Callithrix jacchus: one gene and its partner. The protein of the gene in region 1 purifies or fractionates together with the protein of each later gene. This does not show direct contact. Links are inferred from orthologs where the notes say so. Each region holds a gene or a part of one and is shown on either strand. Other genes may lie near its edges.

Evidence for each region.
Region 2: the proteins of HSPD1 (region 1) and SIRT3 purify together in Homo sapiens (affinity purification with mass spectrometry; 3 studies listed by BioGRID and IntAct, counting the BioPlex papers as one, with this or other methods). This does not show direct contact. The link is inferred for Callithrix jacchus from reciprocal best matches to the Homo sapiens genes HSPD1 and SIRT3.

Annotation. Positions count from the first base shown.
Region 1 is NC_133507.1:118,454,924-118,461,184, forward strand, and holds part of HSPD1 (60 kDa heat shock protein, mitochondrial), read right to left. Parts: intron 6,230-6,261; 5' UTR 6,228-6,229; coding exon 6,054-6,227; intron 4,897-6,053; coding exon 4,644-4,896; intron 3,067-4,643; coding exon 2,984-3,066; intron 2,436-2,983; coding exon 2,340-2,435; intron 1,935-2,339; coding exon 1,841-1,934; intron 779-1,840; coding exon 610-778; intron 1-609. UniProt on the Homo sapiens protein: Chaperonin implicated in mitochondrial protein import and macromolecular assembly. Together with Hsp10, facilitates the correct folding of imported proteins.
Region 2 is NC_133511.1:131,713,892-131,720,796, forward strand, and holds the end of SIRT3 (NAD-dependent protein deacetylase sirtuin-3, mitochondrial), read left to right. Parts: intron 1-1,580; coding exon 1,581-1,790; intron 1,791-3,138; exon of another isoform or gene 3,139-3,256; intron 3,257-3,832; coding exon 3,833-3,853; 3' UTR 3,854-4,614; downstream 4,615-6,905. Other genes in the region: RIC8A (chaperone Ric-8A), read right to left, coding at 5,984-6,131.

The DNA of each region.
Region 1 (6,261 bases):
CATGCCGTGTTACTATTTGTATTTTTAGTAGAGACGGGGTTTCACTATGTTAGCCAGGCTGATCTCGTCTGATCTCTGGTGAGCCACCCACCTGGCCCAACTGAGTTGTTTAGAATGTTACCTGTTTACTTCCCTGTTCCAGCCAAAATAATATTCTGAAAATGTATATATTTTTAACCAGAAAAACCTTAAAAACAAAACAAGATTCAAACTTGAACCCAGGAGGCTTGAGCCGAGATTGAGCCACTGCACTCCAGCCTGAGCGACAGAGTGAGACTGTCTCAAAAAAAAAAACAAAAAACAAAAAAAACAAGATTCAGTTACATACCTTCAAAATAACTGTAAACACTTGCAAAATAAAGAAAGGTACCCATGGGCTAAATTAGTCTATTCTATGAGAAAGCTGAACAAAATAGTAAAGACTGGGGAGTCCCATTCAAAAACACAAATATGAAGATACACAGAGCATATCTGATTTATACAAATACAATTCTAGATAAAAACCCAAGTAGATCATATGTGGAGGTACACATAATGGAGACTGCAAACAGCAATACAAATAATTCTTTCATCCAGAAATATAAATCATCAAATACCACTGCCTATTACCTATTCAAGACAAGTGTACTTAGAGCTTCTCCATCAACGTCTTCAGCGATTATGACCAAAGGCTTACGGTGAGCATTGGCAATTTCAAGAGCAGGTACAATCGACTGGACACTAGAAATTTTCTTTTCACTCAACAGAACATAGGCATCCTGGAATTCACATTTCTGACCTGTAAAAATAATGAAGATTTCAAAAATACACAAAATGAATACAATGTATTTAAATGAAAAGCTAAACCAAGGTTCCAACACACTTAAAAAGTGACCAGGCTGGGTGCGGTGGCTCATGCCTGTAATCCCAGCACTTTGGGAGGCTGAGGCGGGTGGATCACAAAGTTAAGAGACCATCCTGGCCTACATGGTGAAACCCTGCCTCTACCAAAAAATACAAAAATTAGCTGGGCGTGGTGACTCACGCCTGTAGTCCCAGCTACTCGTGAGGCTGGGGCAGGAGAACTGCCTGAACCCAGGAGGCAGAGACTGCGGTGAGCTGAGATTGTGCCACTGCACTCCAGCCTGGCGCCTGGCAACAGAACAAGACTCTATCTCTGGAATACACACATTTATTTTTTTAGAGGATGACACCAACTAACATCCATAGTTTGACACACGTTAGGAAAGTACGTTTAAAAAATTTTAGGAGGGTAAAACAGGGAGATCACTTGAGGCCAGGCATTCAAGACTAGTCTGGCCAACATGGCTAAACCTTATCTCTATTAAAAATACAAAAAGTAGCCGGGCACGGTAGCTCATGCCTGTAATCCCAGCACTTTGGGAGGCTGAGGTGAGCATATTGTCTAAAGTCAGGAGCTAGAGAGACCAGCCTGGCCAACGTGGTGAAACCCCATCTCTACTAAAAATACAAAAATTAGCTGAGCATGGTGGCACCTGCCTATAATTCCAGCTACTTGGGAGGCTAAGCAAGGAGAATTGCTTGAATCCGGGAGGTAGAGGTTGTGATGAGCCAACATTGCATCACTATACTCCAGCCTGGGTGACAGTGAGACTCTGCCTCAAAATGAAGAAATAAATTAAGGAAAAATAAAAATTAAATTAAATTAAAAAATTAGCCGGGCATGGTGGCACATGCTTAGATCCCAGCTGTTTTGGAGGCTGAGGCCCAAGAATCACTTGAACCCAGGAGGTGGAGGTTGCAGTAAGTCAAGGTCACAACACTGCACTCCAGACTGGGCAACAGAGAATAAGACTCTGTCTAAAAGATTTGTTTTTACCTTTTGATGTATTAATAAAGTATGGAGAAATATAGCCTCGATCAAACTTCATGCCTTCAATAATTTCTAATTCATCATTAAGTGTTTTTCCATCCTATGAAAAGACAAAGAATTAGGTATACGGATTTCAATGAACACAAAACATGAAATTACAGGCCAGATTAACAAAAATAGACCCCTTTGGTCATTAGGAATATAGGCTAGAGTATGAAAAAACCCAGGATATCCAATTTCACTTCTGCAAAAATCCCAAAAGTGCTTATTTAAATAATTCTTATGGCTAGACAATATTTAAGTTAGGATGGATTCATTTCACAAAGCAAAGGCTAATTCACGTAAAACACAGTAAGCACTTTGTTCTATACATGTGCTGAGACCACATATAAAGAAATGAAACCACACAGTATTTAAAACACATAAAATTTTTCTACTTGGAAAATTCAGTTTTGATCATCAGATAACTCATTCAAACTATTTTTAAAAACACAAACACACTTGCCTTTACTGTGATGACACCCTTTCTTCCAACCTTTTTCATTGCATCAGAGATGATATTCCCAATTTCTTTGTCTCCATTTGCAGAAATTGTAGCAACCTGAAATAGTCAAGTTGAATTAAAAGGTAAGGCTAGTGCCCTCAGTCAGTTCCCTCATCTTTTCCCAGTAACTTCCAAACTGACACTTACATTCCAGGGAGAAAATTTACGATATGGTAGTTTTCATGAAGTACTAGTTCTTTCTCTTTTTTGATTCATTAACTACACTGTTTTGAGAAACATGATATATAAAACTATTCTTTTAACAATATGTATCTTTTTACATGGCAAATCTGATACTACTAACTGACAAAACTTATGCACCTTTGACAATGGCTAAGAACATTTTCACAATCATACTAATCCATTTTACAGCCATGTAGAACTAAAATGACAACTACACATAGAAGTAAAATGACAGCTACACATAGAACTAAATGACAATCATTATGGTCAAAATTCTTTTCAAATGTTTTAGCAGTAAGAAAAAATGAGTCTAATACTGACGATTAGGTAATACTGTTATTCTGACATTGGTGTGATCGAGAAAAAAAAAACACACATGCCATAAATTTTTTTAAAAAAAGTGTAACATATTAAGTCCTTACCTGTGCAATTTCTTCGGGGGTGGTCACAGGTTTAGACTGCTTTTTAAGTTCGGCAATTACAGCATCAACAGCTAACATCACACCTAGTTCAACAATGTATGTCATTACAATGCTTATTTCTCTCAGGGCTTCTATGTCAAGTAGAAATCTTGAGATTCATAACAAATATTTTAATGACTTAAAAAAAAATTTTTTTTGAGACAGGCACTTGCTCTGTCGCCCAGGCTGGAGTGTAGTAGCACAGATCATGGCTCACTGCAGCCTTGACATCCTGGGCTCGAGGGAGTAGCTGAGACCATAGGCTCAAGGCACCATGCTCAGCTTATTTTATTTTTGTAGATTAGGTCTCACTATGTTGCCCAAGCTGGTCTTGAAATCCTGGGCTCAAGCGATCCTCCCACCTCAGCTTCCCATGTAGCTGGTACTTACAGGCATGTATCTATGCTTGGACTAAAACAAGGCAGATGTGTACAGTTCCAAGAGTCTCTCCACTGAACTCATCCTATGCAAATCATTTCTAACCCAATCATGCTGCCCGTCCCTGACACTTTTCATGTCTGTCAGATGATGCAAAAAAAGGACCAAAATGGGTAACACTCCCTTACTTTCAACAAGTATAGTTCTTAAATGATAGGAATTTGTTGTGACTATGTCTCTACAGGTGTCAATTATTTGAAATTCTTTCACTTAATTTAGTATGTATTATGAACTAACAAAATATTTGTTATACATTAGTTTTTTAAGTCTCATTTTGCTTAACTGGGAATAGTGCTAGCTCTCCTGTTTGAGAGATATACTTAAAAAAAAATCCAATGCAAGGTGTTGGGAAGTCCTCTTAATCTTAATATGTTAGTGATTTACAGTAAAACTGCTTAAGTGCAGTGTATTCACTTGACCCATAAACACTGAAATAGATAAGGTAATGATATATTAGTAATGTAGTAATACATCAGTATGTCAATTATGACAAAAAAATTATCAATAGCACCACCCCCATGACTCTCAAGAGGGTTCCAGGTTTGAACCCTAACATACTCTAGATATACATATAGCAATTCTGGTGATAGGAAAACCAAGTCTTAGCACACAGCTAATAAATGACAAAAGATGGGACTAAAATTTATCAGCTTCATACTGCCATGAAGCTCATGGTGAGGAGCAAATTAAGTTACACTCCAGTTACAAGCACTAACAAACCAATAACACAGTTTGTGCTAAGAAAAAATAAATTGTGGAAAACATTACTTTCTGATTCAGTCTAGTCTTACTTTCTACAAAACTAAACTAAAAATTAGCCAGGAATGGTGGTGAATGCCCACAGTCTCGGCTACTTGGAGGCCGAGGCAGGAGGATTGCTTGAGTTCAAGGTTACAGTGAACCATGACTGTGCCACTGTGGTCTGGCTTGGACTCTGTCCCTAAAAACAAAAGAAATCAACTAAGTAAAACATCAAAATTACCTAACAGCACCCACCACACAGTCTGGCATTCAATCACTACTTACTAAAGGAAAACCCACTTTAAGATTTCTCTAGGCCAAGAGGAGGAATGAGAGAAGGATCAATTTCCTACAGTAACAAACACTTTCCTTAGGTTCAAGGAATTAATGCCTTAAAGTATACTGAAGTTTAGAACACTGTAGTGACAACAAACATTCCTACCTCTCCTGATTTCCACTGGATTAGCACCTTTGCTAATCTTCTCGAAGCCTTCCTTGGCAATAGAGCGTGCCAGTACAGTAGCCGTGGTAGTGCCATCCCCAGCCTCTTCATTTGTGTTATTGGCAACATCTTGAACAAGTTTAGCTCCAATATTTTTATATTTATCCTTTAAGTCAATTGACTTTGCAACAGTCACACCATCTTTTGTTACTTTGGGACTTCCCCAGCTTTGCTCAATAATCACTGTTCTTCCCTAGAAGAAAAAAAAAAAGTTACTGGATCACACACACTCTAAGGGTTATTTACATGTCAAAAAATGAGCAGTTTTCATAATGAAGCAACTACTTCAAAGTCTCAACGTTTTTACCAGTCTTGCAGCATGAATCTCAAGGGCACGTTTATTAATATTCTTTGTCAACAGACAAAATGATCTGTTTCTCGGCCAAGAGCGTAATTTCGAATTAGATAATTTAGGAGATTAAGTTTTGGTTAGTGCCTGTTATCTTTGAAAGTAATGTGACCATCAAGGCAAGTAGTGTGCTCTTCCAGGTTCACTCAACATAAAACCTCAACCATGGCACAAATAGTTATTGGCCACCTTTTGGATGTGAACTAAAGCTGTTACTTTCCATTTGTGAGGTGTGTAAATATTTTATGCAGTTGTTTGGATCACTTAATATCTGAACTGTCTTCAGACTGAAATGAACACCACTTCACTGCACACCACTTTAAAGGCCTCCTCAAAATATTAACCCTATTAAATGAGACTGATTTTAAATATGCTTTGGAACAAGAGAACAGCAGAAAACCGATAGGTAAAACTAGCATTTTGGGATGAAGGAGAGAACGGTAAGCTACTGTTTAATGAGCATAAAGTTACAATTTTCCAACATAAAAAAGTTTTGGAGATGGATAGTGGCAATAATTGCACCACATAAATGTAATTAATGTCCCCAAAGTGCACACTTAATGGTGATTTTCTGTTGTGTACATTTTACTACAACAAACAAGCAAACGAAAGCACCTACAAGCACATACCTGAGGTACTAAAGGAGATAAACTCTTCCCTCTATACTTGGCATGAACTACTGGGGAAAAATCCAAATTTTAACTTAGGCAAGCAAAATTCTACCTCGAGTTTAGGAATCCACCTTGAGCTATGAGTTACTACCCGATTACATCACGCATTGTACAAAATAGTTTTGAAAATCTGGCTGAAGCACTTTTAAGCTTTAAGATCATGTCTAAGAAAAGAAAGGTTAACCAATACTTCACAACTCTTACATGTAAACTGGTTTATCTCAAAAACAGATACGAAAGTACTGTTCAATAGTTCAGTGCGACTGTTTGTGAGTAAAACGCTATTAATACTGTAATTACAATAAAATAAATAAATAAATATACGGATACCTTTGGCCCCATTGTAACAGCTACGGCATCGGCTAAAAGGTCTACACCTTGAAGCATTAAGGCTCGGGCATCTGCACCAAATTTTACATCTTTGGCGTAAGCCCGAGTGAGATGAGGAGCCAGGACCCTGGAAACCGGTCTCATCTGGCGAAAGACGGTGGGTAACCGAAGCATTTCTGGGGATGGAAGCAAATATATAATCAGTACT
Region 2 (6,905 bases), on another chromosome or scaffold:
TTTCTCCCACAGAGCTGAGGTGCTGGGAGTGAGCAGATAGGAGACCCCAGGGTGTGGACGGGCATGAGAATGCCCATGCTACGCCTAGAATGGAGGGACAGACACAGGAGGAACAGTTAGAGGGGCCATGGTGGTCAGCAGTGTGTGGACTGAGCCGAGCTGAGCGTGCTGGCCATCAGGTGTGGACACTCAGGCCACCAGCCATCTCTTTTGTTGAAGTGAAATGAAAATAGCCTTTTTCCTGATTATAAATTTCTTTCTTTCTTTTTTTTGAGACAGAGTCTTACTTAGTTCACACCCAGGCTAGAGTGCAGTGGTGCGATCTCGGCTCACTGCAACCTCCATCTCCCAGGTTCAGGTGATTCTCCTGCCTCAGCCTCCTGAGTAGCTGGGACTACAGGCGCCCACCACCACTCCTGGCTAATTTTTGTATTTTTAGTAGAGACGGAGTTTCACCGTGTTGACCAGGCTGGTCTTGAACTCCTGACCTCAGGTGATCTGCCCAGCTTGGCCTCCCAAAGTGCTGGGATTATAGATGTGAGCCACCGTGTCCAGGCCTTAATATAAATTTCGTTATAAATTAGTAAATTATATGTTTATAAATGAGTTTATCCATTAGTGATATAAACTATTATCATTTATTGTAAATATTTTTGCAGTGTATGATGATGAGAGGTTTTTTAAATTTTTTAATTTTCTACATAGTAGTTTTATGTAGATACCAAGGTAATAGTATTCACATGGTCAGATTTGTCACTTTCCTTTGCCTTATCTGACTTTAGTTTCCTTTCTTTTTTTTAAATTTTTACTTAGAGATAGAGAGGGAGGGAAGGAGGGAAGGAGGAAGGAACCTGACTTCAGTTTTCATGCCTAAAAAGTTCTTCCTTACTCGTAAACCCTACATTTTCTTCAAGAACTGTTTTTAATTTTTATTTGAATTTTTTACAGCGGGAGGTGGGAATGGAGCATTTTCCCCCCAGATAGTGAGCCATTTTTAATGCTATTTATTAATGTATCTATGTTTTACATTTTTCCTCTTAAAAGAAGCTTTGAGAACTGTATGAAGAAGCCTGATGGCGCCAAGTTAGGCCTCTTGAGAGGCTGTGTGGTGAAGACCATGGAGAGATGTTCGGGGGCACCAGCTCCTCCTTGTGCCAGAGGCTGGTGGTGGCCGTCACAGTGAGCAGGGCTAGCCAGAGGAGACGGACGAGTGTCCTTTGTCCCTCCGTGGCATGCTGGGAGACAGCGTGGTGGGGAGGACAGGGAGAATGGAACGCGCTCACAAGGAAGAGGTAGGAAGGATGGAGCCCTGATGAACCTTGAACCGGAGGTAGGGAGAGGCCAGGATGTGTTGGAAGCAGCAAGAAGTGAAGGAGAGGGAGACTGAGGGGAGGAAGCAGAGTCACTGAGGCCAGGTGGCAGGAGCTCAACTGAAGAAATCAGGTTGGTGGTGGGTTTTCCGTGTTTTACAGGACCTGCCAGTCTGCTGCTCCTCCAAGGCCTCAGTGGCTGTGGCATGAAACATCCTGAGGGGCTTGTAGGGTGGACACTGTGTCCCTCACGTTTGGGCCATTTTTCAGGTGGAGCCTTTTGCCAGCTTGACCGAGGCCGTGCGGAGCTCAGTTCCCCGACTGCTCATCAACTGGGACTTGGTGGGGACCTTGGCTTGGCATCCTCGCAGCAGGGACGTGACCCAGCTGGGGGACCTGATTCAGAGTGTGGAAAGGCTAGTGGAGCTTCTGGGCTGGACAGAAGAGATGCGGGACCTTGTCCAGCGGGAAACTGGGAAGGTACAGACTGCTGAGCAGCGCCATTCAAGGGGCTGCCCTCCTCCCTGGTATGGTAACACAGTGATAGCTGACGATGCTGTTAATCATGCACCAGGCACTGCCCGGACCTGACTGGGCATTACTTGCAATACCTTCATTTAGAGATGAAGAAACATGCTAACAGGGCCAGGAGGGACACGGTCCAGGCACTCGGGGCTGATGAGTCTGTCGTCTTATCACACTACAGGCGTTAGCTTCACCCTGAAATAGAGCAGCCAGTAGTGCACCTCAAAGGCCTGGTAAATGATTCTGAGATATGGGTTAAAGCACTTTGAGAAGCTAAAGTTCTCTGCACCTGTGTGGGATGAAGGCCACCCTAGTGATGCTTTCAGGAAGTAATTGCTATGAAAGCCATCTATCTATTATAAACCACTGAGGAAAGCCAGAGAGAGCCTTGATGCTTTCTAAGAGGTTCCAAACTGCCTGTAAACAAGTGAGGTTACGGAAAATGCACTTTCCCATGAGAATCCTGTAGCATGTATAGCCTTGGTATTAAGGGTTTTCAATGGGAGGTAGCATGAAGCACTTAAAGTCCTGTGTTGTGATTACAGGCAGGTGTGACACTGTCCAAAGGGGATTTCACCAGCGTATGAGTCTGTTGTCATGCTGCTACCAAAGGCATACCTGAGACTGGGTGATTTATCTAGGGAAGAGGTTTAATGGACTCATAGTTCCATTTGGCTGGGGAGGCCTCACAGTCACGGTGGAAGGGAAAGGAGGAGCAGAGTCACGTCTTACAAGGCGACAGGCAGGAGGATGTGTGCAGGGAACTGCCCTTTATAAAACCAGGTCTTGTGAGACTCACTACCACAAGAACAGTGCGGGGAAAATCTGCCGCCATGAATCAGTTACTTCCACTGGGCCCTGCCCTTGACTTGTGGGGATTATTACAATTCACGGTGAGATTTGGGTGGGGCCACAGCCAAACCGTGTCAACCAGAATGTATCACAGCTGATGTTCTTGTCTTCCAAGGCAGACATCAGGAAACCCTGATTCCTTTTCCTTGCCCACAGCTGTGCCTGCCACGTGGCTCAGGGCCACGGGTTCAGCACTCTCTTCACCTCCACCAGTCAAAGACCCCCAGCCTCCCGTTGCAGGCAGAGTTTTTACCAGTCACGATCACTTCATTATGGAAGCAGGGGACCCAGCTAACATGAGGCTTAAACGTTGAGAGGCGAGTGCCTCCTGGCCAGCTCATGAGGTAGCAGAGATCTTAGATCAGCCTAGCAGGCTTTTTTTGAGGGAGCCTTTTCCTGCTACACCTTCCTTTATTTATTTTTGAAACAGTGTTTCGCTCTTGTCTCCCAGGCTGGAGTGCAATGGCACAATCTTGGCTCACTGCAACCTCTGCCTCCTGGATTCAAGTGATTCTCCTGCCTCAGCCTCCCGAGTTGCTGGGATTACAGGCGGCCACCACCATGCCTGGGTAATTTTGGTATTTTTAGTAGAGACGGGGTCTCACCATGTTAGTCAGGTTGGTCTCAAACTCCTGACCTCAAGTGATCCACTCGCCTAAGACTCCCAAAGTGCTGGGATTACAGGTGTGAGCCACCACACCTGGCCCAACTTCCTATTTTCAAAAAAAAAGCAGATTGTAACCCAGGTAGCTCCTGTGGATTTTTGGAAGTGGCCCAACAGGATTTGAACTGTATAATTTTACAGAAATTTTTGTGAAATGTATTATGATTTTAGAGTTTCTTGTTTTTTATTTACTATCCTAGGGGTTACTTTTCCAAATAGTGAATATTTTTAAGCACATGAGCATCAGTAAATCTTGATTTGGGTACTTAAATTCCCTTAGAATGAGGCTCTCCATTTAGCCACCCTGTTCTGCCCAGGCCTGTTGGGATCCTCGCAGCCCAGCACAACAGCATCATTTGCAGAAAGCAGCTTGTTTTGTGAAATATTTTGCATATCTGCAGCTAGATCTGTGTGACCAGAGATCTGCAGGCTGCCTGGATATGTTAACAGACAACTGATACCTCTGTCTTCTGTGTTCCAGCTTGATGGACCAGACAAATAGGATGACGGCTGCCCCACGCAGGAAATGGTGACATAGGAGCCATCCACATCCCATCTCTGATGAGACCTCATGCCTGAAGACAGCTTGGGCGGGTTTACATGTTTGGTCAAACCAGAATATGTGAACTGAGCGGACATCTGAGGCTGCCACAGGACTGTCTTCCCAGGCTATGAGCTGTGCTGACTGGTAGGGCTGTTTACATTCAGGGGCACCCGACACATATGCAAAGGAGCTGCCTGCCTGCCTGCCTGCTTGCTGTGTTTAACTCTTCACTCTGCTGAAGCTCGGAATGGAAAAAGCTTTCTTCTGACAGGGACCCTCTTGAACTGAAACAGACTAGAATCCCAGACTGGGTCTGCTTTCTTTGTGCCAAGTCCCTGTCTGAGGGCAAGCTCAGCATCCCTGGTTAGAAGATCCAGACTCGGGCCGAGCAGCCCCCAGCCCTCTTCGTGTCCTGAAGTGCAGTCTTGAGGCCCTGGTGCTATACTTCTAGCATGTTGGTCTCCTTTAGTACGGCTGTTTTTAGTTAGAGAAAACCTGTCCTTTATTTTCAGCATGAAATACATTTTAGTCTCCTCAAAGGGACTGCAGGTGTTGACATGAGTTGGAAAAGTAACCCTGGGGTACACAGCATCCCCTCTGTTGGAACAGTCCGAGGATTGAAGGCACTTGTCTCTGGGTTTATTGGAGATGGCCCAGCTTCTTCCTCTGAAGGTGGTCATGTTCTGTTGACTTTGAAACATCTGTTCCAGACTATTCTAGCACTTTCTCTCTGGTCTCCTTGTCCCCACACTGCCCCCCAGCCCCAGGGCTTCCTCCAGTGACACCGCTAGAGCTAATCTCTGAGACTAGTGAGGAGGAATTACTCACTGAAAACCCAGGCTGAGTCCTGGCCACCTGCTGGATTGTGACATAGGAGGGAGAATCCACTGAGCTCCTAGTTCTGCACAGGCTGCTGCTCCTGGGGCTGCACCAAGGCCCAGCTCTGATGGCTCAGCCCTTCAGGTACCAGTGGCTTCCCCTTGGGCTCTTACCCACATGCAAGCAGCTCCTCCCTAGCATCAGATCACCTGCGTGTTTCCCCAGACAAAAGCACTTCCTGTTCCTGAACATTGCCTCCCCTGGGCTGAGCTGACGGGAATCCATTTAATGACTGACTCCCAGGAAGGGGGCTCTGACTTGGCTCCTCAGTAAGAACGAAAGACAGAAGTGGTGACCTAGGAAAAGTGTTGAATTCTAAAAGGAATGAAATTAGTTTCTAACTCTAGTTAATATTCCTTTACCTGATTTCTTATTTTTTGAGAGTGTCTCTCTTGTCACTCAGGCTGGAGTGCAGTGGTGTGATCTCAGCTGACTGCAGCTTCCACCACCTCCTGGGTTTAAGCAGTTCTTGTGCCTCAGCCTCCTGGGTAGCTGTGATTAGAGGCGTGGGCCACCGTGTTTAGCACAGGGGCTTAGCCATCACGCTTAGTGTTTTTTTTAGGTCACATCTTTTTTTTTTTTTTTTTTCCATTTTAGGTTTTGGGGTAACACTTAGTATTTTTAAGAGACGGGTTCCCATTGTTGGCCAGGCTGGGTTCAAGTGATCCGCCTGGCTCGCCCTCCCAAAGTGCTGGGGTTAAGGCGTGAGCCACTTTAACAGTTTACATACATATTCACACATATATTTTTGCTCAGAACTCTTTATTTCAGGATGATGTTTCTGTGTCTATGTGCGGTACATGGTATAAATCTCAAACTGTGGTCACACGAGGGGCATCCTCCTAAGTCTAGTCTAAGCCAGTGGGAAGGATTGAGATTTAATTGCCAGAACCAGCGAGAACTTGGGCACTGTGGATACTACAGTGGGCAGCTCAACAAGGACCAAGGAGAACACCTGGGAGGCCTCCAGCCCTGCACCCAGTGAAGACAGGACAGAAACCACAGAGCACACCTTGGAGTGTGCGTTCTGACACACTTGTACGTAAAGTTCTGCCAGGTTCTTTCTCCCTGTGAAGTGCAGCACATCCCTCAACACAGCGGCTCTGGCCCGCATGCCAATCTCAGATGTGCTTGCTCTGTGCACACCCACGCCCATCCCCCTGCCCTCCCATATGCACGCTCTTCTGTATGCCCAGGTAGGCCCTGCCCTCAGGCAGCAGCCTCTACACACATTCCTCTTGGCGCAGACAAAAGAAAAGTACTTTGCCTGCAGAATTCAAGGCTGAGCTGTGCGTTCTTGCACAAGACCACTGCAGTCCTGAGATAAACTGAACCAGGGGCAAATCGTGAACAGAACCTGGGGAGTAAAGAGAAAGGGTTTCCAAGATGGAGAGAGGGGTGTGGGCCCAGGGGATGTGGCTTCTCCCAGGTTACAGCCCCAGGGAGTCTCTGGAAGCAGCACCGGTTCTGACGGGAGCAGAAGAGCTGCCATCCTCAGTCAGGGTCTGAGTCAGGGTCCGAGGAGAGCTGCTCCTCCATAGTCTCGCACATGGCGTCCTGCAGGGACGTAAGGTGACCCCGAGGACTCATCCCCATTGGCTGGATGACTCTGTTCCTGTGGGGAAAGGTGCAGTGGGGCTGGGGAAGGGGCCCCGCTGGCCAGGCAAGGGTCCTGCTGACCCCTGGCTGCTACCTTCCTCTCCACCAAGTAGGTAGGCTGCTCCCATTTACTGGGGAAGCCTGATTGGACTTTCTGTTAATTGGGCCCAAATCCTAACTGCTACCTCATGGCTTTAAGTAGATTCTTAATTGAGACATCTAAATTGGCCTTAAACAGTCTCTGAATTTGGACATTGGACCATCTCCAATAAGTCCAGGGACATTAGACAGTCTCTTAAGTTCTCTGGGCCTCAGTTATCATCTGTAAAATGGGCACAATACTGACCTCAATATGCCCATCCCCTGGGGGATTTCCTCCAGGGCAAGTGATGTCAAACGTAAGTAATGCGGCCTTGCCAGGATCCTAAGCTCTCCTCTGACCCTACCTCCTGGGGATCACAAGACAGGATGTGGGTCAGCTCTCCCTTCTCCCAGCTGCAGGCTCCCCCCACCTCCTCCTCATGCTACACAC